Linked DNA regions of Macaca fascicularis. The protein of the gene in region 1 purifies or fractionates together with the protein of each later gene. This does not show direct contact. Links are inferred from orthologs where the notes say so. Each region holds a gene or a part of one and is shown on either strand. Other genes may lie near its edges.

Evidence for each region.
Region 2: the proteins of SF3A2 (region 1) and SNRPD1 purify together in Homo sapiens (affinity purification with mass spectrometry; 4 studies listed by BioGRID and IntAct, with this or other methods). This does not show direct contact. The link is inferred for Macaca fascicularis from reciprocal best matches to the Homo sapiens genes SF3A2 and SNRPD1.
Region 3: the proteins of SF3A2 (region 1) and ZC3H18 purify together in Homo sapiens (affinity purification with mass spectrometry; 3 studies listed by BioGRID and IntAct, with this or other methods). This does not show direct contact. The link is inferred for Macaca fascicularis from reciprocal best matches to the Homo sapiens genes SF3A2 and ZC3H18.
Region 4: the proteins of SF3A2 (region 1) and RBM17 purify together in Homo sapiens (affinity purification with mass spectrometry; 4 studies listed by BioGRID and IntAct, counting the BioPlex papers as one, with this or other methods). This does not show direct contact. The link is inferred for Macaca fascicularis from reciprocal best matches to the Homo sapiens genes SF3A2 and RBM17.
Region 5: the proteins of SF3A2 (region 1) and PLRG1 purify together in Homo sapiens (affinity purification with mass spectrometry; 3 studies listed by BioGRID and IntAct, with this or other methods). This does not show direct contact. The link is inferred for Macaca fascicularis from reciprocal best matches to the Homo sapiens genes SF3A2 and PLRG1.
Region 6: the proteins of SF3A2 (region 1) and PHF5A purify together in Homo sapiens (affinity purification with mass spectrometry; 5 studies listed by BioGRID and IntAct, with this or other methods). This does not show direct contact. The link is inferred for Macaca fascicularis from reciprocal best matches to the Homo sapiens genes SF3A2 and PHF5A.
Region 7: the proteins of SF3A2 (region 1) and CHERP purify together in Homo sapiens (affinity purification with mass spectrometry; 3 studies listed by BioGRID, with this or other methods). This does not show direct contact. The link is inferred for Macaca fascicularis from reciprocal best matches to the Homo sapiens genes SF3A2 and CHERP.

Annotation. Positions count from the first base shown.
Region 1 is NC_088393.1:2,906,109-2,908,897, reverse strand, and holds the end of SF3A2 (splicing factor 3A subunit 2), read right to left. Parts: intron 2,634-2,789; coding exon 2,584-2,633; intron 2,505-2,583; coding exon 2,364-2,504; intron 1,782-2,363; coding exon 1,713-1,781; intron 1,620-1,712; coding exon 819-1,619; 3' UTR 708-818; downstream 1-707. Other genes in the region: AMH (muellerian-inhibiting factor), read right to left, coding at 1-30. UniProt on the Homo sapiens protein: Component of the 17S U2 SnRNP complex of the spliceosome, a large ribonucleoprotein complex that removes introns from transcribed pre-mRNAs.
Region 2 is NC_088392.1:68,136,286-68,140,393, reverse strand, and holds part of SNRPD1 (small nuclear ribonucleoprotein Sm D1), read left to right. Parts: intron 1-491; coding exon 492-568; intron 569-2,155; coding exon 2,156-2,347; intron 2,348-4,108. UniProt on the Homo sapiens protein: Plays a role in pre-mRNA splicing as a core component of the spliceosomal U1, U2, U4 and U5 small nuclear ribonucleoproteins (snRNPs), the building blocks of the spliceosome.
Region 3 is NC_088394.1:84,469,055-84,473,912, forward strand, and holds the start of ZC3H18 (zinc finger CCCH domain-containing protein 18), read left to right. Parts: upstream 1-1,792; 5' UTR 1,793-1,956; intron 1,957-4,858.
Region 4 is NC_088383.1:7,058,743-7,062,850, forward strand, and holds part of RBM17 (splicing factor 45), read left to right. Parts: intron 1-966; coding exon 967-1,108; intron 1,109-3,467; coding exon 3,468-3,619; intron 3,620-4,108. UniProt on the Homo sapiens protein: Splice factor that binds to the single-stranded 3'AG at the exon/intron border and promotes its utilization in the second catalytic step. Involved in the regulation of alternative splicing and the utilization of cryptic splice sites.
Region 5 is NC_088379.1:159,465,571-159,470,176, forward strand, and holds the start of PLRG1 (pleiotropic regulator 1), read right to left. Parts: upstream 2,981-4,606; 5' UTR 2,895-2,980; coding exon 2,886-2,894; intron 1,512-2,885; coding exon 1,405-1,511; intron 1,122-1,404; exon of another isoform or gene 1,050-1,121; intron 426-1,049; coding exon 283-425; intron 1-282. UniProt on the Homo sapiens protein: Involved in pre-mRNA splicing as component of the spliceosome. Component of the PRP19-CDC5L complex that forms an integral part of the spliceosome and is required for activating pre-mRNA splicing.
Region 6 is NC_088384.1:10,143,504-10,148,063, forward strand, and holds the start of PHF5A (PHD finger-like domain-containing protein 5A), read left to right. Parts: upstream 1-1,303; 5' UTR 1,304-1,332; coding exon 1,333-1,384; intron 1,385-1,834; coding exon 1,835-1,858; intron 1,859-2,349; coding exon 2,350-2,516; intron 2,517-4,560. Other genes in the region: ACO2 (aconitate hydratase, mitochondrial), read right to left, coding at 803-838.
Region 7 is NC_088393.1:16,859,690-16,863,797, reverse strand, and holds part of CHERP (calcium homeostasis endoplasmic reticulum protein), read left to right. Parts: intron 1-170; coding exon 171-606; intron 607-3,891; coding exon 3,892-4,108. UniProt on the Homo sapiens protein: Involved in calcium homeostasis, growth and proliferation.

The DNA.
Region 1 (2,789 bases):
CAGACTGGTGAGAGGCAGGTCCCGCGTCATGGGTGCTGCCAGGAGCTGGGCTGCCCGCCTTGTGGAAGCCGAGTGGAAGGTGGGGTGTTTGTAAAGGACAGGCCCCTATCTCCTCTGCCGCGACCTTGGGGGACAGTGCCCAGCGCCCCCACTCCAGGCAGAGTGGCCTTCTCAAAGAGCCCTTTCTGTCGCCAGCAGCCTATCTCCCTCCCCACAGCGATAGAGCTGGGCCTGATTTGTCAACATGCTGTCCTTGAGGGCCCGTCCCCAGAAGGCACAGGAGTGGGAACCAGGCTGGGAGTGATGGCCAAGCAGCCAGACTAGACAGCGCTGGGGGCGGGGGGCCCAGATGTCCTGGGTGCTAAGGGGTGGGCCTGGAGGAGGAGGGTCCCAAGTCAGTGGGGGCGCCCTGTCCCTGCTCACCCTCCCAACCCCTGGTAGGCTATCTGGAGACCCCAAGGATATCACAAGAGTCTGCTCTTCCCTCCCCAGGACAGGACCCCAGACCCCCTCCTAGCTGGCTGGTGGAGTCTGTCCTCCACCAGGCCACCTCCAAGGTACAGCTGTCTCTCAGGCCTCCCACAGGTGTCTCCCGGCAGGCCCCAGGCCCTCCCCAGTCGGCGCAAACTCAGGGATGGTGCTGTGCCTGGCACTCCCACACAGCACTGACAAGGGAGGGCGGCGCTGCAGACATCAGTGCACTCGGGGCTGGGGAAGGCTGTTTAATGAGCAGGGGGCGGTACAAAAGAGCAGCCTTCTCTCGATGGCAAAAGGCAGGAGCACCTGGCGCTGAGCTTGCTGGGGGAGGGAGCAGCTTCTCAGTTGGTTGGGGGAGGGGGAGGTATGTTCCCTGGGCCTTCGGAGGGGAGTGGGGGCCTCAGCATTGGGGGCATGGGAGTTGGGGGGTGTACCCCAGGATTTGAGGGGTGAACTCCAGGAGGCTGAGGGTGGACCCCAGGAGCTGATGGATGGACCCCGGGAGGTTGGGGGTGGACTCCCGGGGCCTGAGAGTGCATCCCTGGGGCTGGTGGGTGCACCCCCGGGGCCTGAGGGTGAACAGCAGGGGCTGCTGGGTGTACCCCTGGGGCCTGGGGGTGAACCCCCGCTGATGGGGGAGGATGGACCCCCGGGGCTGGTGGGTGAACCCCAGGGGCTGGTGGGTGGACTCCAGGGGCTGGTGGGTGAACCCCGGGGGCTGGAGGGTGAACCCCGGGGGCTGGAGGGTGGACTCCGGGAGCCGGGGGGTGGACCCCAGAGGTTGGTGGGTGGACCCCAGGGGCTGGGGGATGGACGCCAGGAGCTGGGGGATGGACCCCAGGAGCTGGGGGATGGACGCCAGAGGTGGGGGGATGCACCACTGGGGCCGGGGGGTGGACCCCTGGAGCTGGCGGGGGTAGCTGGGGTGGTCCCGGGGGCCCTGAGGGTGCAGGCCCCGTGGGGGGCATGGGTGGCAGAGGTAGGCCTCCCGGCGGTGGCGGTGGCAAAGACTCGGGCAGCGGTGGCCGAGGGGGCAGACCATTCATCAGCGGAGGTGGAGGCCGCTTCACCCCAGGGGGGCCGGCGGGGAGGCTGGGCGGAGCCGGGGGCTTCTCCATCTTAAAGTGGAACTGGAGGAAGAACTAGAGAGACGGAGAAAGGTTCAGCAGGCACGGGCAGGGCTAGGGCCACCGGGGCTGGGCAGGAAGGAGCCAAGCTCAGGGCTAGCCACTCACCTGCTTGGTCTCCCGGTTCCAGTGTGTCCAGAACTTGCCCTCCGCCTTGTCAATCTCTCTGCTCGGCACCTGGGAAGGCGGGGGACAGAGAGGGCTCCTGGTCCCTGTGACCTCAGGGTAGCCATCAGGCAGGGAGCCTGAGGCGTTAGCCTCCCCGGCCCGGACTCCACCCTGGGAGCCCAAGAGAAGGCCCCGGCCTGGTAAGACTTTCGATGGGCACAGGGTTCAGTTCTGGAGTGACACAGACCCGGCCTCCACGCTAGCACACGCTAGCCCCCGCCCTGGACAGGCACCGTTTGTATTGTTTCCTGATGGCTGCTTTGTCCAGGCGTAGGCACAGGCTGTGGGAAGCCCTCCAGCAGCCTAGACCAAGAAGCGAGGTCACTTGGCGAAGGCCTCACAGGCCCAGCGCTCAGCCCTGCCGGCCTCCCTTCTCCATGGGCACAGTGGAGCCCAAGCAGGCCCCCTCCTGCAAAGCCCAATGGGAGGGGTACCCTGCCCAGCCTGCACAGACCCTTCTGGCTCCGTCTCGGGGATCCCAGGGGACCCCACAGCCTGATAGGAGGGGCGCCCTGCCCAGCCTGTGCAGATCCTTCTGGCTCGCACATCTCAGGGGGCCCTGGGGCCCAGGGGACCCCGCAGCCATGCTACCTTGAAGGCGATGGTCTCATAGGGCTCAGCAGCCATGAGCAGGTACTGCCAGCGCCGGTCCGGAGGCTCAATCCTCTGCTCGTACGCAGACATGAAGCGGTGGCGTGGCATGATGCCCTCGGCGATCTCAGGGTAGTCGATCTGTGGGGACACAGCCGGGTGGCAGCGCCACCTTTCAGGTGCCTTCGGCCGCCCCCCACACCCAAGCCCCTGATCTCACCTGGAAGAGGAGGCTCTGCTGGCCCATCTCCGAGTCCCTCTGCTTGGTCACTGCAACACAGAAAGCTCTCAGGTCCCGGCTGCTTGTCCTCCCCAAAGCTGAGGGACCTGGGGCAGGCTAATGCCACCCACTGAATGAGGGCGAGACCCCAGGGGAGGCCCTGTGGCTCCAGGCAACCGCCAATCCGCCCAGGCTCTGGGACTCCG
Region 2 (4,108 bases), on another chromosome or scaffold:
AACGAGAACTACAAGTTACAGATGTGAATAAAATATGACCCAATTTATGTAAAAAGAAATCTGTATATATGCTTATGAATGTGCATATAAAATGATCTGGAATAATATTCCTACATACCCACAGTGCAGGGGGTTAGGAAGGGAGATTTTTACTTTATGTATAAATATTGTAATAAACTTGTAATCTTTTTACCAACTGTAATTCTTTATTTATTTTTCATGATTTATGAGTCTGAGATCTTGTATGTCTGGATTTGAGGTTTGAGAATTAGAAACGTCCAAATGACAGTTCATTTTAGTATTGTTGTGTTCCTTCATAAAGGTTGAGGATATGATTCAGGAAAGCTGAAATTGTTAGCATATTCTTGATAGGAATTGATGCAGATAGCATCTACAAATTTTCAGCGTCTAGTTGTTTCATCTTTTTACCTTAATAAATGTGATTTTAAAGTGTTGCAGGTAAAAATTAATGGTTTTATTCCTATTTATAGATTTTTGATGAAATTGAGTCATGAAACTGTAACCATTGAATTGAAGAACGGAACACAGGTCCATGGAACAATCACAGGTACGGAGGTTGGACTACTTTTATAACATTTTTTTCTTCTCTTTTACCTGCTATCCAGAGTTTATTTTTTGATTGCTTAATGAACGTTATTGTAGTACAGATTCTTATTCTTTTGTCTGAATTATGTAATTGATTGATTGATTGATTTTTTTATTTATTTATTTTTTTTTGAGACGGAGTCTCGCTCTGTCGCCCAGGCTGGAGTGCAGTGGCGCGATCTTGGCTCACTGCAAGCTCCGCCTCCCGGGTTCACGCCATTCTCCTGCCTCAGCCTCCTGAGTAGCTGGGACTACAGGCGCCCACAACCGCGCCCGGCTAATTTTTTGTATTTTTAGTAGAGACGGGGTTTCACCGTGGTCTCGATCTCCTGACCTTGTGATCCGCCCGCCTCGGCCTCCCAAAGTGCTGGGATTACAGGCGTGAGCCACCGCGCCCGGCCTATTTTTTTTTTTAAACAGAGTTTTGCTGTGTCACCTGGGCTTGAGTGCAGTGTCATGATCTCGGCTCACTGTAACCTCCGCTGCCTGGGGTCAAGCAATTCTTTTGTCTCAGCCTCCCGAGTGGCTGGGACTACAGGTGCCTGCCAGCATGCCTGGGTACATTTTTTTTTTTTTTGAGACGGATTCTCACTCTGTTGCCCAGGCTGGAGTGCAGTGGCACAGTCTCAGCTCACTGCAACCTCCGCCTCCAGGGTCTGATTAATTTTGGTAGAGATGGGGTTTTGGTCTCGAACTTGTGACCTCATGATCCATCCGCCTCGGCCTCCCAGAGTGCTGGGATTTCAGGCGTGAGTCAAGTCACTGCACTGGCCTAATTTTTGTATTTTTAGTAGAGACGAGGTTTCAGCATGTCAGCCAGGCTGATCTTGAACTGGACCGGGCTGGTCAGAAGACCTCAGTTGATCCGCCCGCCTCGGCCTCCCAAAGTGCTGGGATTACAGGCGTGAGCCACCAAACCTGGCCTAAGTAGGTCTTTAGTTATCCCATTAGTTCAGGTATAATTTGGTAAAGGCTTCAGTATTCAGGTGTTTCAGCTATAATGTCATATAATCACCCTAAAAAATTGCTTTGTATTTTGTAAACTCTCATACTAAAAATAGTAGCTTAATGAGAAGAATAGGTGTTGCAGACTACTTAAAAGCCTGTGTAACTTTGTAATCAAAATATTCTTAACAAAAGTGGTAACAATTATTACATATAGAGAGAAGCAGAAACAAAGGTGAGGATAGTTTAGTGGAATGGGGATTATGAGAAAGTCACAAAGACAGTGAGAGAAACATTCAAGAAATACCTGTCAGATCAGTAGTGAGCCTGAAGCCCAGTCAGGGTTCTTCCATTGCTTGCTGCATTCATTTCTGTAAGCAAAACTTAGTGTGCTAGGAAAAATCTCTAGGAAGGAAACACTGCTGATTTATACTGACGTTATTCCCCCATTTACCAGTTGCATATGTGCTAAATTATGTCATAGAAAACTTGCACTGTAGCAGAACAGTATTCTTTTGTAGTCCAGTATTTACTGTGGCTCAGTAGATTAATTAGTTGCCTGACTTTTATCATACTAATAACTGCCCAATTATTTTCTTTTTAGGTGTGGATGTCAGCATGAATACACATCTTAAAGCTGTGAAAATGACCCTGAAGAACAGAGAACCTGTACAGCTGGAAACGCTGAGTATTCGAGGAAATAACATTCGGTATTTTATTCTACCAGACAGTTTACCTCTGGATACACTACTTGTGGATGTTGAACCTAAGGTGAAATCTAAGAAAAGGGAAGCTGGTAAGTTTGAAGGATTATAAAAATTTTTGTGAATGCTAATCCTAATCCACACTATTCATAATATAAATATTTGCAAACAACACAAGTGTCTTTGTTTTTTAATATTTCTTATAATGTGTATTATAACTCCTGGTGTTGCTATTAAAAACATTGATGCGGCTGGACACAGTGGCTCACGCCTGTAATCCTAGCACTTTGGGAGGCCGAGGCGGGCAGATCATCTGAGGCCAGGAGTTCCAGACCAGCCTGGTCAACATGGAGAAATCCCATCTCTACTAAAAATGCAAAAAAAAAATTGGGCGTGGTGGCGCATGCCTTTAGTCCCAGTTACTTGGGAGGCTGAGGCAGAAGAATCACTTGAACCCGGGAGGCGGAGGTTGCTGTGAGCCAAGATCATGCCACTGCACTCCGGCCTGGGCTACAGAGTGAGACTCTGTTTCAAAATAATAATAATAATATGGTTGTAATCCATAGCTTGTAAAACAATGATTTAACCTCTCATGCTGTGTATCATGCTGCTTTCCACTTTGCAAGAACCCCCTGTGGGTACCAAAATCTACAGATGCTCAAGTCCCTTTTCATAAAATGGTAATAGTGTTTCCATCTAACCTCTGCACATCCTTTTGTACACTTGTAATACCCAGTATAATGTAAATGCTTTGTAGATAGTTATATTGTATTGTTTAGGCGTTAATGACAAGAAAAAGTCTGACAACCATCATAGGCCTAAAGTTGGTTAAATCCATGGATGTGGAACCCATGGATATTGAAGGCTGACTGTATTTTCAAATCTGAGGACTTTTTGCCTTAATGTCTTTAGGGTTATTCTACTTTTACTACCTACCTACCTGTGAGGGAATTGATGATTGAAAGCCCCCTGCCTCGTATCATCTTACTCCACGCTGAGAAGTTATTCTTCCTTTACTAAATGTTACAGTTCCAAGTCTATTTTCTGATTTAAAATTTTGTTGAAAAAAATTTTTTTGTTTTCTTTTTTTTTTTTTTTTTTAGATGGAGTTTCACTCTTGTTACCCAAGCTGGAGTGCAGTGGCGCGATTTCAGCTCACTGCAACCTCCGCCTCCTGGGTTCTAACGATTCTTCTGTTTCAGCCTCCCAAGTAGCTGGGATTATAGGTGTGTGCCACCGCACCCAGCTAATTTTGTATTTTTAGTAGAGACGGGGTTTCATCGTGTTGATCAGGCTGGCCTCATACCCCTGACCTCAAGTGATTTACCTACCTCAGCCTTCCAGAGTGCTGGGATTACAGGCATGAGCCACCACGCCCAGCCGAAATCTTTTATCTACTATGTTTTCTCTGCTTTTCTTTGTTCTTCTGGGTACTTACCGTTTTTGTTCCTTTTCTATCATAAATACTATTTCAGAAGAAATTGGAGATAAGTGTGGTCAATTTGGTTCATTTTAACATGCGTCCTAGACTTACTGTTTTTGTGTGTACACATTTAAAATAATATAGTTTAAAATAACTGAAATTGGCTGGGCGCGGTGGCCCATGCCGTGAGCTGAGATCGTGCCATTGCACTCCAGCCTGTGCAACAAGAGTGAAACTCTGTCTCAAAAAAATAAATAAAATTATTTATGCCTGCCCCCCACCCACTCCCCACTTCTTAAAAAGTTGTTTTCTTAATTTATCTTTCTTTTATACAGATATGCACCACCAAATCTGGCTAATTTTTTAATTTTTTTGTAGAGACAGGGTCTCCCTGTGTTGTCCAGGCTAGTCTTGAACTCTTGGTCTCAAA
Region 3 (4,858 bases), on another chromosome or scaffold:
TTTGTTCTTTTAGTTATGACTAACAGACCTGCTATGTCCTTCTTCATATCTCATGCCCATGGGCAGATGACACCGCAGTCCGGTGGCCCACCTGTGCCATCAGGCATCAGAATCCCCTGAGAGCTCTTCACGGACCACAGGGCCCCAGGGCCCCACTCCCAGTCGCTGGTGCAGCCATTCTGGGGCAGGACCCAGGAAAGCACATTCCTAACAACCCCTAGTGATACTGAGGCTGCTTGCCTGGGCCCCACTTGAAGAACCCTGTTGAGGGTAGCACGGCTGGTCACAGGGCACTTCTTCTTTTAAACTGACATTGTTTTCCAAAGAGGCTGTGATCAACAGAGTTTACTGTTCATGAAACTCAGATCGCAGCCAGGCACGTGTCGGTCACAGCCGGTGCCGGCTGCTCCTTTGCATGGATGGTAATGTCCATGCAGGTTTATGTTTGTCAACTGGCCGTTGCTGGGTGGGACTGTCTTACCGACACATAAAGCCTACAGAAGGCGCCAACTCGCGTTACAGGGCTGCTCCTGACACGACCAAAATCACCAGGGTGGAATTCACACTCCTCTTACATAACCATAACAAGTTGCTGGGATCACAGGCATGTACCACCATGTCCTGTTAATTTTTTTGTAGAGGCAGGGGTCTTGCTTTGTTGCCCAGGCTGGCCTCAAACTCCTGGAGGAGGTGGTACTCCAAGCTTGGCCTCCCAAAGTGCTAGGATTACAGGCGTGAGCCACAGGGCCACGTCTGTGGTACGTCTTCCAAGGACAGGAATCCTATCAGATCAGGATCCCACCCTTATAATCTCATTTAACCTTAATTCTCTAAAGGCCCTTTCTGCAAACACAGTCACATTGGGGATTACGGCTTCACATACAAATGTTAGGGGGACAGAACTCGGTCCATAGCATGGAGTCGCACAGTATTTGTCCTTTTGTGATTGGCTTGCTTTACTTAATATGTTTCCAAGGTTCACCCACGTTGTGGCACGGGTCTGAACTTCACTCTTCTGGATGGCTGACTCACATTCCACTGCATGGACAGGCCGCATTTTGTCTGTTCATCAGTTCCTCCACATCTCGCTCCCTTGTTTCCACCCTGGGGATATGGAGGAAGATGGGGTGGGCGAAGTCCTGTGACCCCCAGGACCAGCCACATCGTTGGCAGGGGACAGTGCAGGATGAAACCGTGGGCCCCTGGTCTTGGGCCGGGCCCTCCGTCTCTAGAGCAGCTCGCACCGCTGCAGCCCCTGGACGTCCCAGGCTGTGGACGCGCCCGGGGGACGCCGCGATGAGCAGGACACGGGACAGGTCCCCTTGCTGGCGCTGCTCGCGTTGAACCGCGCGGGGAGCTGGGCAGCCCATGGGAGAGGTAAGAATTGTTAGGCTTTTAATCTAAAGTCGATACCTGAAAAAATAATTCCGGAGCTAAGCATTTAATATCAACATTCAATAAAGCAGGAGATATCAGCCCGACGAAAACCGCTTTAAGTTTTCCGCGTTGAACTCGATCATCCCCCAGGGATGAAGAACCCACCAGCCGAGCCAGAGCCCCGTCACGTGACCCGGCGGCCACGGGGAGCCCTGTGCGCAGGCGCTGAGCCGGACTCCCGCTCCCGAGGAGCGAACTCCCTGTGGCGCCTGCGCTGTAGCGGGGGCTCAGCGGGCGCGCGCGCGTCCGGGCGCGCGCCGCGGGGGCGGAGCCGCGCGGAGGCCGGAAGGAAACTGGAGGGGGCGGGGCGAGGGAGGGAAGCCCGCCGGCCGTAGGACGACCGTCGCGGCCTGATGACGTCGCACAATGGCCGGCCCCCGCGGGTAGTGGAGCCCGTTTGTTCCGCCCGCGTCGAGCCTGGAGCCAGAGCCTGTGAGGAACGGAAGGGCCAAGGGACGTCTTCTCCACGCCGCTCCGACTCCAGCAGCGCCGTGGCCCCCTCTCCGTCCTAGCGCTGAGGTTAGCGGGGGCCGGGCGGGCGGCGGGAGGCCGGGCCGGCGGCGGCGGGAGGAGGAGGCCGCCGAGGCGGCGGCGGCGGCGGGAGTGAGGCCCGGGACCCTGGCGCGCCTCCGGCCGTGCGGACCCGCCGACCGAAGACTGGCCCTTGGGCCAAGGGAGGGGGACCTTGAGACAGGCACCACCCCGCGTTCCGTCCGTAAGCGGCCCCGCGGTCCTGGGGCGCCCTCAGCGCCTGAGCTCCTCGCGCGCTGCCTCCGCGCCCCGCGGCGGAGTTTATTTTCCTGAAGCTGTCATTTCTCTTCCGGGCCACTCGCGTGGCACATGTGTGCCGCCCGCTAAGGGGCGGTGAGAGGCGCCCAGGTTAACCTCCGGAATAGGTCAGCCCTTGCTGTTTCTGGGCTCTTCGGAGAACTTTGAGCTCTTCATGAGCCTCCTGGAACTTGCGCCGCAGCTTCAGAGTGTGCACAGGTTGGACGTGGTGATTGCCCCAAGACGCGCGCCGGTCTCTTAGGAGTATGTAACTTCCTTGCCCCTTGGATCAGGAGATCAGAGGTGCTGGGTCCTTTATATAAACTAACTGCAGATATAATGCTGGAAGAACCGAAACTTACAGCCTTGCTCCTGCCAAAAATTAAGTTTTCCTGACTACTTTGTGACAGCTGAGTTTGCCGGTTAGAGTGGCCGTTTTAAATGAGCTTTGTTCCGCTAACTCATTTGCAAGGGTAGGTCATTCTTCAGACCCGTTTGGGAAAATGGAAGAAGAGAGTGTTTGGCATCTGCAGTACCGTTTGGGGTGTAGCAAGGCGCTCGTCATTTCTCCTGAGACTCACTTCCAGCTTGTTGTCTGTAGAGTGGTCCTTTCCCGTTCAGTTGTTGAGATTCTCCTGGTGAGCCTTGACCTCGGCTGAATCCCGCTTCCCAGCCTTGGGAGGAGAGTCTTTGCCTGATAATTTTACTATCTAAGGGCAGTATGGAACCCAGCCAGCCCTGGAACCGGTCAAATGTGTCCCAAAGCCGGAAACTCCTCTCCCATTTTAGGTGGGACATGCTGAAATGTTGTAAGAAAGCTTTGTGGAGTCACTCCAGAAAGCAAACAGGTAAGTTAACCTGTGGCCTAGATCGTGTTTCAAGAGATTTGTATTTTGTCACGGCTACAGAGCATCTCAAGGTGAGTACCTCCTTATCAAGCAGTTTAGTGGTCAAGCTTGGTCAGTTTGCGAGTGGGGTCTGTCACCAACCTTGATAACTTTCATTTAGATATTGTAAGCCCGTGAGGTTATGAGTCAGAATTTTAACCAGATGTTCCAGAACTCAGGCATTCAAATAGGGACTGCTCTGTTGAAAATAACTGTCCCAAAATGTTGTGCTTGTATTTCATTGGTGCTTCTTTGCCAAAACCTCTTTAGAACTCCTGTTTTGGTAGTAAAAATGTAGTCATATGGGAAAATCAGTTTTATTCAGTAGTCACCCTCCAGGTTTGACCAAAAGTTGTCTTATGTGGTTGGTAACTTACCTTATCAGGTGAGACTCTGACTTGCAGCACTTATCAGAGACTAGCTTGAGAGGAGGAAGATTTGCCACCACGGAGAACACCAGAAGACTTCTTCAGGCTTGGAAGGTCATTCGAAATGAGAAGGTTCCCAAATGCTCTGCATTTCAGCAGTGCCATTGGAGTCTGTGCATCCTCCCAGAGGGACTGCTTGGAAGGGAGGTAGCACCTAGTCTTTATTATTACTATTATTTTTTGAGACGGAGTCTCACTCTGTTGCCCAGGCTGGAGTGCAGTGGCACGATCTTGGCTCACTGCAACCTCCTCCTCCTGGGCACTTATTTTCAATTCCTTTCTGGTAGGCAACAGGTAGTTCCTCAAGTAATGAGATTTTTGTCATGTATCAACAAATATTTATCAAGTATCATCTGCCAAATGCAGAAAGCAACAGAGTTGGGATGACGGGTACTTGTTACTTCATTCCTTAGGCAAGCTTACCCATCTGATGAATCGGAGGGCTAAGGATTTAGTTCTAAATCATGCTGAGAATCTTCAGTTATAGAGTGATAGTGTACGAAGACCAAACTGAGCACGAATTGCAAACATAGGTGTCAGTTGAGACTTGTCTGCTGACACCCGTGTCTACGCTTTTCATTTCATTGTCTACACTTACGAGGCTACGTTTCTTTTCCTGGCACCTTATTATTATTTTTTGAAATGGAGTGTCACTCTGTTGCCCAGGCTGGAGTGCAGTGGCACGATCTGGGCTCACTGTAACCTCCTCCTCCTGGGTTTGAGTGATTCTCTTGCCTCAGCCTCCTGAGTAGCTGGGACTACAGGCACGTGCCACCATGCCCAGCTAATTTTTGTATTTTTAGTAGAGACGGGGTTTCACTGTGTTTTGGCCAAGTTGGTCTCGAACTTCCGACCTCGTGATCCACCCGCCTCAGCCTCCCAAAGTGCTGGGATTACAGGCATGAGCCACCACACCCAGCCAATTGTGTGATTTTTTAAAACTAGTTTGAGGGGACGTTTAGTTTTGCATAAAAGTCAGTTTATTTAAGAGATCACTTTGTTTGCAAGGTTGACATTAGACTATAAAACATGAGAATCAGAATTTGTCACATTTCAGGTCTGGGTTCAGCTTGGGACATCCTGCTGGGTACCAGGTGCTCCACTTCGGCAGCTGGGGAGATGTAAACTACCTGCCCTTCTATGAGGAAGATGTTTATACATTGTCATAAAAATTGTACAAGGAGGCCGGGCGCGGTGGCTCAAGCCTGTAATCCCAGCACTTTGGGAGGCCGAGACCATCCTGCCTAACACGGTGAAAGCCCGTCTCTACTAAAAAATACAAAAAACTAGCCAGGCGAGGTGGCGGGCGCCTGTAGTCCCAGCTACTCGGGAGGCTGA
Region 4 (4,108 bases), on another chromosome or scaffold:
GTTTTCGTTAACATATCTTACTTGTTAGATTCATTTGGAGTTAAAACAGCAGATCATTACAGTTTTTTAACTCAGAGGTTTAGAGGCTGTTATATTCATGACCCTCCACAAGGTGGCAATGCCTTCCTTGATTAGATTTTTTTCTTCCCTTTCCATTTCAGTGCAGTTGGGTTTGCGTGTCATTGTATTGCCAAAACACCCTCGCCCACTGTTCCTTAGAATTTGGGGATTGGGATTGGACTTCTGAATATCATCTAGGTCATTTTCCCATTCTCTGGATTGGACCATACCTAAACTATCCCAAGCAGATATTCTCATTTATAGTACTTTTTAAAACTTGTTGGATTTTATTTATCTTTTAAAGAAGATAATTTCTAAGATGTTATGAAATGCCTGTTACGTGAAAACAACGGACAAACAATAAACCCCAATTGAAACCAGTCACTGGGAGTGGGGCTCAAGGCATCTGGATGGTCTTAAAGCTTCCTGCTGACTTTCATGTAACTAGGGTTGAAGCCACCGCTCCAGTGCATGGCCCCTAACCTCGGAGACCTTTGTGGGCTGTGAGGCTGATGAGATAGGTCAGGGTCTAGACAGGTGCACACAAGGTGCTGCGGGAGTCAAAAGATGGCCTGATTGTATCTCCTTGGAACATACAGAAGCTCTTTCCAGCAAGAATATTCATTCAATGAGATTTTAAAGGGTAAATAACATTTCAGTAAAGTATAAAAAGGACGTTTGAGGAGATAGAAATAGCAAAAGCAAAGCTGGAATCAGGAAAATAGTGACTTTCCTCTGGTTTTAAAAAAAAGTCATATAAAGGCTGTAAAATTGATTTGGTGTTTTTCTCCTTGTGGTAAACCAAAAAGTAGGTTAAATTTGTTCGAGATAAATAATTGATACAAGTGAGGTTTCAGAGGGTTTTCTATAGTATTTTGGTGAGACTACTTTATATTTCTCCAATAGTACCCCGAGATTTTCCTTATGAAGAGGACTCAAGACCTCGATCACAGTCTTCCAAAGCTGCCATTCCTCCCCCAGTGTACGAGGAACAAGACAGACCGAGATCTCCAACTGGGCCTAGCAACTCCTTCCTCGCTAACATGGGGTAATGATTTAATGTTCTTATCTAAGGACTTGAGAGACAGTGTGAAGCATTGATAGCCCTTTCAACAGATGCCGCTTGTTTGAAACTGAGGACATTCAGGCTGTGGGGAGACTCTTGGTGTGTGCAGGTCACACGGTGCCTGCCTCAATCATGTGGAGCGTATTCCAGTGTAATGATGGGGCTCGTTCAAAACAGCAACCTTCCAGTAGAAGTTTTGACTCATTTTGATGTTGAACATTATTTTTCTAGACAGGTACAGAACCTGATAACTGTTTACATTTGTTTTCATGACATTTGCAAATAAAATAGCTCATATGAATCAGAGTTGACTTACTATCTGCAAAGGACAGGTGATACTTTTTTCCCTGATAAAGTGGGCCATTTGCTTTAAGGTCATGGTTCTCAGGGTCATTCTAACTACAAGTAGACATTTGCTTGCCAGCATATAAAAGTTGACTGTAAGGTTGACACTCAGGTGGGGCTTGAGGATTTTTTTTTTTTTTTTTGAGACGGAGTCTTGCTCTGCCGCCCAGGCTGGAGTGCAGTGGCCGGATCTCAGCTCACTGCAAGCTCCGCCTCCCGGGTTCACGCCATTCTCCTGCCTCAGCCTCCCGAGTAGCTGGGACTACAGGCGCCCGCCACCTCGCCCGGCTAGTTTTTTGTATATTTTAGTAGAGACGGGGTTTCACCATGTTAGCCAGGATGGTCTCGATCTCCTGACCTCGTGATCCGCCCGTCTCGGCCTCCCAAAGTGCTGGGATTACAGGCTTGAGCCACCGCGCCCGGCCGAGGATTTTTTTAAACTGTACTGGGCTTGGCAAACATTTTGGTTAAGAGGATATTCTATGGTGTTGATTTTGATCCTGTGAAACGGCTGTCCCATGAAGTGGCATCACACGAACGCTTTGTTCTGTGCTGTGTTGCATCTGCCGGCTGCTGCCTGTAGCGGAAATGCAGCCGGTGAGACAGCCAGTGGAGTTGAAACTCACTAGTCTTTCAAGTGCTCAGTGACCACATGCAAGTGGTGACCATGTTGGATGGTGCAGACATAGGACATGGCTGTGGCTGCAGGAAGCTTTGTGTGCTGGAGGGTTGGACAGACATGAAGCTGGTTATGTTTTGTTTTCCCTGTTTATGATAGAAATTGACTTTTTACTGAATTTGCTTTTAACCAGGAATTACATCTTTAACTTGTGCTTAGGAAAGATGCAAGGTGGTACCATTCAGCAGTTTTTGGTCTTTTTAGCCCTAGAATAGCTTGTTCAAATGAACATGTTAAGGGAATTAAATACAAGAAGTAATGTAGGTGCAGTTCCAGTTGAAGCAGAGTTTTGTGGCTTAAGCCCTAAGCAGCAGTGGTCATGGGGTGGGGGTGCCCTTCAGCCCCATACCACACCTCACAGCACAGTGTGAGAGCCATTTGGTTATTACAGAAAGCAGTGGACTGAGAGTTGTAGGGTCCAGTTTCAGCTCTACCATTAACAGCTGTACAGATAATTTATTTGTTTTTTGAGATGGAGTCTCACTCTGTTGCCCAGGCTGTAGTGCAGTGGTGCAATCTCAGCTTACTGCAGCCTCTGCCTCCCGAGTTCAAGCAATTCTCTGCCTCAGCCTGCCAAGTAGCTAGGACTACAGGTGCACACCACCATGCCTGGCTAATTTTTACATTTTTAATAGAGGTGAGGTTTCACCGTGTTGGCCAGGCTGGTCTTGAACTCCTGACCTCAGGTGATCCACCCACCTCGGCCTCCCAGTGCTGGGATTACAAGCGTGAGCAACTGCACCCGGCCTGTACAAATAATTTCTAATGTGGCGTCTTGCTTTACTTCTAAGTCCACCCCTTAAGCTAGTCAACTAATCTTAGCCTCCGTTTATTTCTCATTTGTTAAATAGGTGATCTCTAAGGGTTCTTTCATTTACATAGTCTGTCATTGGAAACTCTCCTGTGCCATTCAGGAAATGGGATCATCTTCATTATATGAAACTTCATACTTACTTTTTGATAGCCACTTTTTAATAAACTGTGGTTACAAGCTATGTGGCAGTGCAGGTCCAGAGCACACAAAAGGTCTTGTGTTTCCTAGCAGGGCACTGAGGAGACTCCACCAGAGAAACTGGCATTTCTCCTCCAAGACAACAGAATATTCTGGATTTTAGTCATAGCCTTTTCTGTTTCTCTCATGCTGCACATCCCCATAGCTTCCATCTGATAGCCCACTCCTAGTTAATGAGTGACTTTGTTGAAACCCCTGTGGAGCATGCACTCTCTCCAGAAGGAGGTGGTTATGATGGAAAAATGCAACCTGTCTCCAGTTGACGATGTCCAAGCTAAGAGTCCTTTCCCTTCTCCTCCTGCCAGGGGCACGGTGGCGCACAAGATCATGCAGAAGTACGGCTTCCGGGAGGGCCAGGGTCTGGGGAAGCACGAGCAGGGGCTGAGCACCGCCTTGTCAGTGGAGAAGACCAGCAAGCGTGGCGGCAAGATCATCGTGGGTGACGCCACAGAGAAAGGTATGTCCCCAGGGAAGCGTGTGGCTAGGGGGAAAGGACTGGCCCCGTCCGTATCAGACGTGGCCAGTCTTGATCCTGATATGCCAGCAGGGGGACGATGACGAGTGTGGCCAGAGGGAGAGGGCTGGCCCCGCCGTCACTAGAACAAAGGCCATCCTGATCATATGATGCACTGCCACTTCTGTTTTGTGAAGCCAGGAATCCTGAGGCTCATCTTTATTTTTTCAGAACAGAGGTAGAGAGATGAAGGCTCGTGGAGGAAAAGATGGTGAGAGACTTGGGCAGAAAATGAATAGTTCTCAGGAAGAAATCTTGGTTATGTGTTTAGAGCATGAAGGACAGAGCCATATAGTGTGGCAGTGAATATACCTGCCATCTCCATCTCAGAGGTCTTCTCTACTTTTCCCTCTTGCCCTTTCAGTATAGATGTGGTTTCTAATTCTCTTACAGATTGTTTGCTTTGCGAGATCTAATGTTATTTTGCAGTCT
Region 5 (4,606 bases), on another chromosome or scaffold:
TTCTCCAATTTTTTCCTTTAATCTCTACTGTGACCTTCTCCACATTCTAAGAATCTCTGCCATCATTATACTACCATTTTTATTTCCTATAAGAAAAAAGTCATCAACCAATGTCTCAGTATTCCCACGAGGATAAAAACTTCCATTATAATACTGGTACAGCCATTAAATACTGTATGACCACACCTAAGTCCTGCCAGCAGGGGCAAAAATAACACATTTTATTTTTCTATTTTTAAAATTCACACATACGTCTGACATTTCTGATAATACCATACTCACCTTGATTGGCAGGGTACTGTTTATGAACATATGAATCCGTTGCATTCTGAGGACCCTTCTCTTTAAGATTTTCTTTCAAAGTAGGCATATGCAACACAGGACCATACTCATTACGAAGCTTGATTGCCATCTTCCGTTTGTGACTATTTAGAAATTATAAACATAAGAACGTATCCATAAATACTTTAAAACAAACACTTAGACAGCTTAAGTTTGCCCAATCATGTAGGAAAAGTTTCTAGTAAGATTTTAAGTAGTATTTAAAAGAATCAAAAATTTCCAAGTGCATTTCCCCACCATATCTGTTCTTTTGCTCACATTCCACCACACAGCATTCATTAAACCTAAGTAATATTTTAGTTTGTTACCTAATAGAAAATATTTTATGATAAATTATCAAGGGTCTGCTTGAAAGATATATAGAAACTAACATACCCTTTAAGAAACCTCAAAGTCAATACGCTTTCCTTCAAAATATAAATATAGTAAAAACTCTACAGCAACCTTTACTAGATGTATCCAAACAGGTTAGTTAGAACTAAGAAAAGTACTTAATTGGTTCAATATTTTAAAAAGAAATGCACTTATATTACTTTTAAAAATAGTCTACTTTACAAATTAAATATAAATGCTTGTTTGAGGAGTTAAGTCGATTTTAAAAGGGTAAAGGACAAAGAAGGAACACTGCACATAATGCAATCCCAGACTGGAGCTGGATATGTAGAACCAAAAATATGCCACCACTCAAAAATCTTCATCATACTAACGAGAAAAGATGGGAGTAGAGGTACTGGCCAGGTACAATTTCAGCTCAGCAAGGCTCTGAGAGCAGCGGGAAGCTGAAAGCACATACAAAGTGATTGATTATAAAATAAAATACCTAAAAGGGACTCTCTTAATTACTGGGTATTTGTAAAATGCAATTAATTAATGGAACTTTTACTGTAAAAGGCCAAAAAAAAAAAAAGTTAAATCAGCTTAAATTATGCCAAAACACCACTCATTATTGAATTAGCCCATGAGTATTGCCAGTTTATCTTTAAAGGTCTCCCTCTTCCTGCTCTCTTCCCCCAGTATTAGAATGTTAAATATTTCAGCAATTGAAAAAAAAACTATACCAACCTCTCTTCATCTAAAGGCACAGGTTTTCCATTATCAGCTACAAACATGTCATGGGTCCTCTTCAATGACCTGAACACAAGTGTGTGTACAGAATGTTTCTGTACCTCCTTAAAAAAAAAAAAAAAAAAAAAAGTAATTACACACCTATCTACAAATTACACAAATCATAACCTAACGTCAGATTGATTATACACTTCACATGTTTAAATATGTAAAAAGCTTTATACCACTCACCATAGCTACTTGTTGCGAGCTACAGGAGTCAAGTTCAGAGAAGAGGAGGAAGCTCCTCTTTGGCTAGAACCTCAGGTATAGCAACTGAGTGATGCCATAGTTTAGTCATTTACTCAATAAATATTTACTGAGCTCCTACTGTGTGTCTGGCAGGTATCGTGCTAGAATCTCACAATAGAATGATAAAAGGTAGTCATGGTCCCTGTGCTCAAGAGGAAACAGACAAATAAAAAGTAAAATAATTCCACATTTTGATAAGTGCTATGAGGGCAACAAGCAAGGCACTGGGTCGGGAAACGAAGGACTAAGTATAATTGTGAAAGACTTCACTAAAGTGATATTTAAGCAGAAAGGGAGTTAGCCTTGCACAAAACAGAGATAAAAACGAACCAGGCTGATGGAAATGTCATGTAAAAAAATGTTCAGTTAACTGAAATAATACAAGAAGGGCGGCACAGCTGTATATGGTGGATGAGATGGTGCTTTGTGGTTGCAAGGGTAGACAAGGTCCAGATTAGGTAAGGTATTTTAGACTATTACAACAGCCTATGTTTTCTTCTAGCAACACAGTCAGTAAAGGGTTTTAAACAAGAAAGGTATGAACAACTTACATTTTAAACAGAACAACTTATGGAACAAAATGGAAGCAAGGAAATCAACGGGGGGCTAATGCACCAGGCCCGGTGAAAGATGATGTTGGTCTCAATTAAGGTGGACTGCAGTGGATACGGAGAAAAGTGAATGGAATCAATAAACATGTGGGGTAACATGGACAAGACCAGCTAACAGAATGGCTGGCTGTTCATGCCAGGGAAAGATGTAAAGAATGGCAAGTTTTTCTGGGAGTAGAGTTGAAATAAGAGACGACTTGAACGCAAGATAGAGAAGACCGCCAATCTTTTCGGGCACAGAATCACTGACACTGCCCCGAGGGCGGCGAGTACCAGTGGTCGAACACCAACAGAGGCCCCGCCTCCAAGGACAGTTTCCAGCTCCCAAGAGTCAAACGAGGACTGGACGAATTATCTCAGGCTTAGCGCCCGGACTGAACCTCCGACTCGGGTTCTCATCCGGCTTCTACCCCTTCCCCGAAAACCCGATGAAGAGACCACCCGGCCTTGGCCAAACAGCTTCCCTCGTAGCCTCTTTTCTCTCCGGACTCCAAGCACTCTCAATCCCCCAAGCCCACTGCCAAAGAAAAACAGTCCAGAGACAAACGACTCTTGAGAGTCCCAGTGTCACTTTACCTCGACCATGATGCTACCGCGTATCCCACCTCCGGCAGAGAAGAAACCCTAATCACTAACGCAGTACCCGCCGCCACAACTGTGCTGCACCTTCCGGAATTGGGAGGCCAGGCGGCGGATGTGATGCAAGCTCTGCGCACGCGCGCTAGTCTCCCCCGGCCCTCTGGGATCAAGAGGCGGGTCTCCCTCCTCAGGACCGCCCCTAGGGCGGAGGCTCGAGGCTGTAGAGGGGAGACACCTGGAAGCGCCTGACTGGAGGATTTCACTCGCTCCTCTGAAGAAGTCTTCGAATTATGTTTTCTGCCTTACCTTCAGCCTTCAATGTCTTGGCTGGGGCCCTGGTTGTTCATGCTGTATTCCCCGGAGTTTAATGCTTTTTATTCAGAGAGCCTAAGCTCTCTGGAGAGCAAACTCCCGTGGGCTCTATCTAAGGCGCTTCCGCTGCCTTGATCTCTTTGGAGGTCGCCTGCTTGCTTTCTGTCTCCTGGTTCCAATCCTGGCGAGAAGCACTTGGACACTTGTAGGCTTAACACCTGAAAACAATTTCGCTTAAACAGTTCAGTAAACACTTGCTGAGTGAATGTTGAGGAATGGCTGTTTTAATTTGGAAAATTTTGACATGTAGATATAAGAAAAACCCATATTCATTTTCTGCTAATAGATTTTTTTTTTTTTAACTTCTCAACGCTACATAGCTCTTGGACATTTCCTAGTTGTCTGCTGATTATTGTGGCTTCAACAATGCCAGGGTACAGCTTTTCAAAGCTGGTAGAAGAAAGACACAATTGGAGACTTTAGCCATTTTTATTTATACATATCCTTGTGCCAAGTATTGGTATTTTTGCTTCCTACCCTGGTAAAATCTCCGGTTTTGATCAACCCTACCTAATTATTTTTCTATGTAAAAAGAAAAATGGATGGACTTGGGCATTTGCAAACTTAAATAGACAAAACATTTTACTGGCCCTGTTTCAGTTTCACTGATCTGTCCTGACAGCGTACTGCATACACTTTGAGAGGGGGAAACAATCTAGCAAAAGAATAGCAGTGTAAATCAACGTCACTTGGAAATTCATTAAAAACATTAAGGTCATGGTTTTTTGTTTGTTTGAGAGGGAGTTTTGTTCTTGTCGCCCAGGCTGGAGGGCCATGGCGCAATCTTGGCTCACTGCAACCTCCTCCTCCTGGGTTCAAGCGAGTCTCCTGCCTCAGCCTCCGGAGTAGCTGGGATTACAGGCGCCCGCCACCACGCCCGGCTAATTTTTGTATTTTTAGTAGAGACGGGGTTTCACCATGTTGGCCAGGCTGGTCTTAAACTCCTGACCTCAGGTGATCTGCCCCTCTCGGCCTCCCAAAGTGCAGGAATTACAGGCATGGGACCCCGCGCCCGGCCTTAAGGTCATGTTTTTGCTTGAAGATAAAACATCCCTGAATTTGACTGTGAGTTTGTCCTAAGAACTGATTTTCTGTAAAAGTGGCCGGTGATGGTATTTCCTTGCAAGAAAATACTATAATTAAAAAATATATACTTGAGGAACTAAATAATATACTCACCTATGAATAATAACTATAGAAAACAATGATTTGAAATGACAATAAAACCATAGAAACCTAAGCAAGACTAATATCTATGGAAAATATTAATTGTCTGGTTGGACCTATTAACTTTTTACATACTTAATCATCCTGGAGACATTAATTTATAGGCCCAGACTCATAAC
Region 6 (4,560 bases), on another chromosome or scaffold:
CCCTGGTTCAGAAAGTTCTGTGAGGGCAGGCTGACATAAACAAGAACTCAGTGGTGGTAGGGCCCATGCTTCTGCCACAGCACTTCGGTGACACTCTAAGAACCAGAACTTCCACCTACTTTCTACCAGTTTTATCACCTATCAAATGAGAAAAATCATCTCATTCCTATGATTACATGAATCAAATAATATTATGAAGAATTAAAAAACAGTCCTCAAATCTTGTGCAAACGTGAGAGACTATTATTATTATTTACTACGTAGGGGCCCAGAAGACCACCTCCCCCCCTCGGGCATTCCATGTTCCGCAGGGTCCTCAAAAGGTGGTACAGGGTCCTAGTTTCTTCTCCAGACTCCAGGCCTGGCAACCGTAGATGCTGTCATGTCTCTGTTGCTAAGAGATGGGAAGTGAGGCCTCAGGAACTGGGCCTAGAAGGCTCAACAACGACCGCGCCCCCTAGTCACCTTGTCCTCACCTTGAGGAATGGAAAGACACCCCACGGGAGCAGGGAATGCTGTCCTCAAAAAGAAGAAAGAGGTGCCTCCGCTCTTCACCCGGCCGCCGCTGCTTGGGCCCACGCTTCTTGCGAGGCGGGGACAGGGCCAGGAAAGCTGACTGTGCCGGGGACGCCTTGACCTAGGGCACCAGAGGAGCGGACACGGGTGCCGGGCCCACAACCGGAACAGGTACACGAGAAGTTGGCCCTAGGTCGGGCCCGCCTCGCCCTGCCTCGCCCATAGCCGCCGGCACAGTAGGAGGCACCCCGCCCCCGTGAACCCAGAGGTCCCTGAGCTCGCTCACCTGCAGCCGAGTCACCAGTAGGCTGTAGGGCGCCATTTTGTGCACTGACAAAGATGAGGTCGCATGCAAGTGACGTCCCAAACGGCGCCTTTTAAAGCCTTTGGGCAGGGGCGTGCCCGGAAGAGTGGGGCGTCACGGTGAAGGCGAGGCCTCCCTAGGGGCACCAGAACCCTGGGAACGCAATGAGCGGAGCTCAAGAGTAATGAACAGACACGCAAGAGGAAATAGAACTGCCTAAAGACACTTGCAGAAGTAGATACCAAGCACAAATATGTTTTATCCAAGAACAAATTTTAGTTATCTCTGCCATCCAAATCTGGGAGTGTTTTTAAGACTTTCATGCACCTGCCAGGACCTGGCCACACAGCAGCGACAGAAACTCGCGCGAGAGCAAGAGGGGCCTGGTGCAAGGATCGTAAACTGACGGAAGCTTAGAGGACCAATCACAGCGACGTGGAGGCAGGAACAATGGGAAATAAAGGTCGGACGGAAGTTCCGGAAGCTTCCGGTGGCCGGCTTAATTGGGAGCTATGGCTAAACATCATCCTGATTTGATCTTTTGCCGCAAGCAGGCTGGTGTTGGTGAGACTGCGCCCTGCCCCTGTCTGTCTGGGTAGGGGTGGTATTAGGAGCTGGGGGGTCGGGGGTTCCCATCACTTCCTTAGTGGCTTGCCCAGCTGGCGCCACGTTTCCCGCCTCTCGGGCGCGGGGTGTTGTAGGAACGCACAGGTTTGTGGCCGCTGATGAGAAGAGGGCGGGGGTGCGCGTGCTGGGAGCCCCAGGCAGGTATCGGGGGTGGGGTCTGGGCCAGGTCCACAGAAACTCAGAGCTTGCCCCAGGACGTTGGAGGAGATTCAGAAGGGTGGTTGGGCTGTGGGTTTGGTTCATTTGGAAATTTGTAATGATAAAATGGCTATCCGCAGGTATCACTGCAGTCCGTACTCATGTCCCTACCCCCAGCTCGAGGATGTACTTCCCGTTTGTCAAAACCTTTATTCTAATTGTACTTTTTAACCATCTTTCATCTTGCAGCCATCGGAAGACTGTGTGAAAAATGTGAGTGGAACCTTCCGTCCCAACAGCCCACCCTTCCCACTCCCAGTTTCTGTGGAACCAGCAAAAGTGCCACAAAGAGGGCTTTGAGTAGATGTGCCTGGAAGTATGTGAACACTGAATGCTGGACTTCAACCAAAGGCCCCTCTGTCTCCCCACTGCCACTTGCACATTTAACGCTGTATCTCTCTAGTTTTCAACAGGAAAAATTGCCAGAGTAGCATGACCCCTCCCTAATACACAGCACTTTGCCGGCAATTATATAGGCTTATCATCTCTGAGGTGATTTTCTAGGCTCTTTACATATGTTAATTGATAAACTTTTGTATATGTTGAGGGACTTGAGATGGATACTGGGTAAACCAAGTTTCGTGATGCCAAGAGGAGGGTCCTAAAGTCACTGTCAAAAGGAGACTAGTGTATTTCCCCATGGCAGGAGATAGCAGAGGACTGAAGAACTTGTTGTGAGTATGACTCCATTCTCTTCCTTACAGGTGATGGCAAGTGTGTGATTTGTGACTCCTATGTGCGTCCCTGCACTCTGGTGCGCATATGTGATGAGTGTAACTATGGATCTTACCAGGGACGCTGTGTGATCTGTGGAGGCCCTGGGGTCTCTGATGCGTATTATTGTAAGGAGTGCACCATCCAGGAGAAGGATGTAAGTGTACAGCTTTCCATCTGACCTTTCCTGCTTTTGTTTCCTGCTTTTTTGCCATCCACTGCAATCTCCTATGGTCTATGGAGATTACTGTGTTCATCTAGTCATCTAGGTTATAATTTTTTCAAGTTCTGTGAGTCAAACTGGGTGTAGTTCAATAAAAGGCAGTTATTTTGCATCAAGGGGAAAAATGCAAGGGAAGCAAATCTTTGTCAAGACCAGCAATTTGAAGAGCCCTCTCTCTATTCATGTTTCTCTGTGATTATTTTTATTCAGAAATGACATCCGGCTGGGCGTGGTGGCTCACACCTGTAATCTCAGCACTTTGGGAGTCCAAGTTAATGAGGATCACTTTAGTCCAGGAGTTCAAGACTAGCCTGGGTCACAGAGCAAGATCCCATCTCAAAAACAACAACAAAAAACAATTTGGTTTTTTGGTTTTGTTTTGTTTTTTTGTTTTCCTTTTTTTTGAGACAGGGTCTCTTGCTCTGTGGCCCAGGCTGGGGTGCAGTGGCATGATCACGTGCAAGGCTCACTGCAGCCTTGACTCCCCCGGGCTCAAACGATCCTCCCACCTCATCCTCCCAAGTAGCTGGGACTGCAGGCATGCGCCACCACACCTGGCTAATTTTTTTTTTGTAGAGACAGGGTCTTGTCTTGTTGCCTAGGTTGGTCTCAAACTCCTGGGCTCAAGTGATCCTCCTGCCTTAGCCTCACCAGGTGCTGGGATTACAGGCATGAACCATCACTCCTGGCCAGAAAAACATATTTTTCATTAGTCGGGTGTGCTGGTGTGTACCTGTGGTCCCAGCTACTTGGGAAACTGAGGCGGGTGGAGGATCACTTGGGCCCAGGAGGTCAAGGCTACAGTGAGCCATTTTCATGCCACTGCACTCCAGCCTGGGTGACAGAGACCCTGTCTGTTTATAAGGCCTGTACAGCCCATGTTGTGTCATAGCCACTCATTAACGTCTCAGATCTATCATTAAGCACTATTCGGGTGTATATCGTGACAAAGTTGAATTTGGGACGATTCAAGTTGACTTCAGCTTTAAGCAGTTAACAAGTACCTTTGGTTTAATATTGCAGAAGTGATTGTGGCCCTGCATCATGACTTTTTTTTTGTCCCTTGACACTGCGTAGTGGCAGTGGTTACTTACTATTCAACTCTCTGAGCCAAATGCCAGGAGAGAGAGCTTATAGACCAGTGCTACAGGCAAGGTTTACCCCATTTCTTTCGTTTAGTATTGGCAGCAGGGTTTTTGTGGGGGAAAACTATGAATCAGCATGTTTTCTTCAAAAAACAAAACAAAAGGAAGTATGATACAGTCTCACTAGGTTAATGATAGTACCCAGTTATCTAATTTATTTATTTATTTGTTTTTTATTTTTTGAGACGGAGTTCACTCTTGTTGCCCAGGCTGGAGTGCAGTGGCACAATCTCGGCTCACCGCAACCTCCGCCTCCTGGGTTCAAGCAATTCTCCTGCCTCAGCCTCCCGGGTAGCTGGGATTACAGGCATGCGCCACCACGCCCAGCCCATTTTGTATTTTTAGTAGAGACGGGGTTTCTCCATGTTGGTCAGGCTGGCCTCAACTCCCAACCTCAAGTGATCCGCCCACCTTGCGTCTCCCAAAGTGCTGGGATTACAGGCCTAAGCCACTGCGCCTGGCCCAGTTACCTAATTTAATTCTAATTTAGAGTAAGGCAAAAGATACATAATTCTTCATATTTCCATGAGCAAAGAATAGGTCTTTTATAGATGTTATCACACCTTGTTCCTCACAATAAGTTTGAGAAATAGGGATGATTATTATGATACCCATTTTATAGTTCCTCTGACAAGCCCAGGCTATTCAACGAAACCTTGTAGTGTCCCCATTTCACCATGTTGTACTTTTATTTATATATTTATTTTATTTTATTTTATTTTTTGAGACAGAGTTTCGTTCTTGTTGCCCAGGCTGGAGTGCAGTGGCGCCATCTCGGCTCACCACAACCTCCGCCTCCCGGGTTCAAGTGATTCTCCTGCCTCAGCCTCCCG
Region 7 (4,108 bases), about 14 Mb from region 1:
CAGCATGTGGTCCGGGTTGAGGGCTGGTGCCCAGCATCGCCGCAGGCATCAGCCTAGGAGGATCCCCGACGTGGCCAGGGCAGCGCCTCCATGGTCTGAGCCAGCGCTGTGATGCTGTGAAGCGCTGGGCCCAGACCACGCAGGGCTCACGCCTGTCCCTTCCCTTGCAGCCGCCAGAGCAGCCGCCCTACCCGCACCACCAGGGCGGCCCACCCCACTGCCCCCCCTGGAACAACAGCCACGAAGGCATGTGGGGCGAGCAGCGTGGTGACCCTGGCTGGAACGGCCAGCGCGACGCGCCCTGGAACAACCAGCCTGACCCGGCCTGGAACAGCCAGTTCGAGGGCCCCTGGAACAGCCAGCACGAGCAGCCGCCCTGGGGCGGGGGCCAGCGCGAGCCGCCCTTCCGCATGCAGCGGCCCCCACACTTCCGGGGGCCCTTCCCGCCCCACCAGCAGCACCCGCAGTTCAACCAGCCTCCACACCCCCACAACTTCAACCGCTTCCCGCCCCGCTTCATGCAGGACGACTTCCCGCCACGGCACCCCTTCGAGCGGCCGCCCTATCCCCACCGCTTCGACTACCCCCAGGGGGACTTCCCTGCCGGTGAGTGTGCGGGCGCCCGGGTAGGGCCTGGCGGAGGCACCCACGGCTGGCCTGCCGAGCAGGCTGGTAGCACTGCTTGTGGTCCTGGTATGCTCCCGAGTGCACAGTGACACAGGCACAGGGTCATGGAACGTCCGAAGAGCCCGGCCCGGGTTCTCAGGAAGTGGGGACACAGACTGTGCCTTGCCGCCCTGATTAGGCCAGGCTGGCTGCAGAGATGCAACTCCGTCCCCTCCTCCCAGCCGCCCCAGGAGCTGTGTGCACTGTCTGCAGATGAGGCAGATCCAGTAGGAAAAGCTTTCCGCTGTGGGTGGCCGTGGCTAGTGCAGGGCGGGGCCTCATTCTTTTTACTGCTGCTGCTTGCTTTTTGCATCAGTTTTCCCATTTGTGTGTTTATTTACTTTTTTTTTTTTTTTTTTTTTGAGACGGAGTCTGGCTCTGTCGCCGGGCTGGAGTGCAGTGGCCGGATCTCAGCTCACTGCAAGCTCCACCTTCCGGGTTCACGCCATTCTCCTGCCTCAGCCTCCGGAGTAGCTGGGACTACAGGCGCCCGCCACCTCGCTCGGCTAGTTTTTTGTATTTTTTAGTAGAGACGGGGTTTCACCGTGTTCGCCAGGATGGTCTCGATCTCCTGACCTCGTGATCCGCCCGTCTCGGCCTCCCAAAGTGCTGGGATTACAGGCTTGAGCCACCGCGCCCGGCCTATTTTATTTACTTTTGAGACGGAGTCTCGCTCTGTTGCCTAGGCTGGAGTGCAGTGGCAGAGGCTCACTGCAAGCTCCGCCTCCCGGGTTCACACCATTCTCCTGCCTCAGCCTCCTGAGTAGGTGGGACTACAGACGCCCGCCACCACGCCTGGCTAATTTTATTTTGTGTTTTTAGTAGAGACGGGGTTTCACCGTGTTAGCCGAGATGGTCTCAATCTCGTGACCTCATGATCTACCCGTCTCGACCTCCCAAAGTGTTGGGATTACAGGCGTGAGCCACCGTGCCCCGCCCCATTTTCCCGTTTTATTAGGTCGTTTTAAAAATCAACACTCGGAGTGGTATCGGGTACCTGTGGTCCTAGCTGTTCAGAGAAGGCTGAGGTTGCAGTGAGCTATGCTCGCACCACTGTACTCCACCCTGGGCAACAGACCCTGTCTCAAAAAAAAAAAAAAAGTTTTCTTTTTAAAGAATTTTTTTTTTTTTTTTTTTTTTTTTTTTTTTTTAGACGGAGTCTCGCTCTATCGCCCAGGCTGGAGTGCAGTGGCGCGATCTCCGCTCACTGCAAGCTCCGCCTCCCGGGTTCACGCCATTCTCCTGCCTCAGCCTCCCGAGCAGCTGGGACTACAGGCGCCCGCCACCTCGCCCGGCTAGTTTTTTTTTTTAGTGGAGACGGGGTTTCACCGTGTTAGCCAGGATGGTCTCGATCTCCTGACCTCGTGATCCGCCCGTCTCGGCCTCCCAAAGTGCTGGGATTACAGGCTTGAGCCACCGCGCCCGGCCTTAAAAAATTTTTTATCTTTTAGTTTAAATAGAGATGGGGTCTTGCTATGTTGGCCAGGCTACTCTCAGTCATCCCACCTCAGCCTCTGGAGTGGCTGGGTCCACAGATGTGAGGCACCATGCCCAGTATCTTTTTCATTCAATTTATTTCTTTTTTTTTTTTTTTTTTTTTTTTTTTTTGAGACAGAGTCTGGCTCTGCCGCCCAGGCTGGAGTGCAATGGCCGGATCTCAGCTCACTGCAAGCTCCGCCTCCCGGGTTCACGCCATTCTCCTGCCTCAGCCTCCCGAGTAGCTGGAACTACAGGCGCCTGCCACCTCGCCCGGCTAATGTTTTGTATTTTTAGTAGAGACGGGGTTTCACCGTGTTAGCCAGGATGGTCTCGATCTCCTGACCTCGTGATCCGCCCGTCTCGGCCTCCCAAAGTGCTGGGATTACAGGCTTGAGCCACCGCGCCCGGCTCATTCAATTTATTTCTAATCTTTTAGTGCTTCCTTTTTTTTTTTTTTTTTCCTTTTTCTTTTTCTTTGAGACAGAGCGTCACCCTGTTGCCCATGCTGGAGTGCAGTGGTGGAATCTCAGCTCATTGCAACCTCTGCCTCCCAGGTTCAAGTGATTCTCCTGCCTCAGCCTCCCGAGTAGCTGGGATTACAGGCACCCACCACCACACCTGGCTAATTTTTTGTACCTTTAGTAGAGACAGGGTTTCACCATGTTGGCCTGGCTGGTCTCGAACTCCTGACCTCAGGTGATCCTCCCACCTCAGCCTCCCAAGGTGCTGGGGTTACAAGTGTGAGCCACCACACTTGGCCTTTTGTTGTTGTTGTTTGTTTTTTTGAGACTGAGTCTCACTCTGTCACCCAGGCTGGAGTGCAGTGGCACAGTCTTGGCTCACTGCAGCCTCCTTTCAGGTTCAAGTGATTCTCCCACCTCAGCCTCCTCAGTAGCTGGGATTACAGGCACCAGCGACTATGCCCAGCTAATATTTGTATTTTTAGTAGACGGGGTTTCGCCATGTTGGCCAGGCTGGTCTCAAACTCTGGGCCTCAAGTGATCCACCCGCCTTGGCCTCCCAAAGTGCTGGGATTACAGGCGTGAGCCACCGTGCCCAGCATTGTATGTTTAAAGACATTCCTGATTATAAATGCAGTTTGGAGACCGCTAGGCACATTTATTGCTTTTACTTTTTGGCTTGGGCTGACATGATAAAGTCCCACAGCCTGGATGGCTTAAACAGCTGGAATGTATTTGTCTTAAGGATCTCGGGGCTGGAGGTCTGAGGTGAAGGTGTGGCAGATTCGGGTTAGTGTCTTGGAGGCCTGTCTCCTTGGCTCATAGGTGACCGTCTTCTCTCTACATGTTTGTGTCCTAATCTCTCTTTATAAGGGCACCCGTCACATTGGATTAGGGCCACCATGGCTTCATTTTAACTCATTTGTGTCTTTAAAGGCCCTGTCTCCAAATACAGTTCCGTCCTGAGCTAAGCTATGGGGGCTGGGACTTCGGCGTATGGATTCGGAGGGTCACAACTTAGCCCTCACGTTGCAGTTTGGGGGTTTTGTGGTTCTCTTCCCTCAGCCTCAAGCTCTCTCGGCTGTGCCTATGGGTGCGGGACAGGCCCCTCAGAGCCTGGCTCCTCCCTGCCTGGCTGCCTGGTCTAGAGCAGTGAGAGAAGGTGCTGGGCAGGCTCCCGGGAGGGCTGGCCTCCTGGCCCCTCACTGAGGCCCTCCCCTCCAGCACTTGTCACCTAGGACATCCTGACTGGCCTGTGGACCTGAGACAAGTCTCTGTTTTGCAGAAATGGGCCCCCCTCACCACCACCCTGGCCATCGCATGCCTCATCCTGGTATCAACGAGCACCCGCCCTGGGCTGGACCCCAGCACCCCGACTTCGGCCCTCCCCCCCACGGCTTCAACGGGCAGCCCCCACACATGCGGCGACAGGGCCCGCCCCACATCAACCACGATGACCCCAGCCTGGTCCCCAACGTGCCCTATTTCGATCTCCCTGCCGG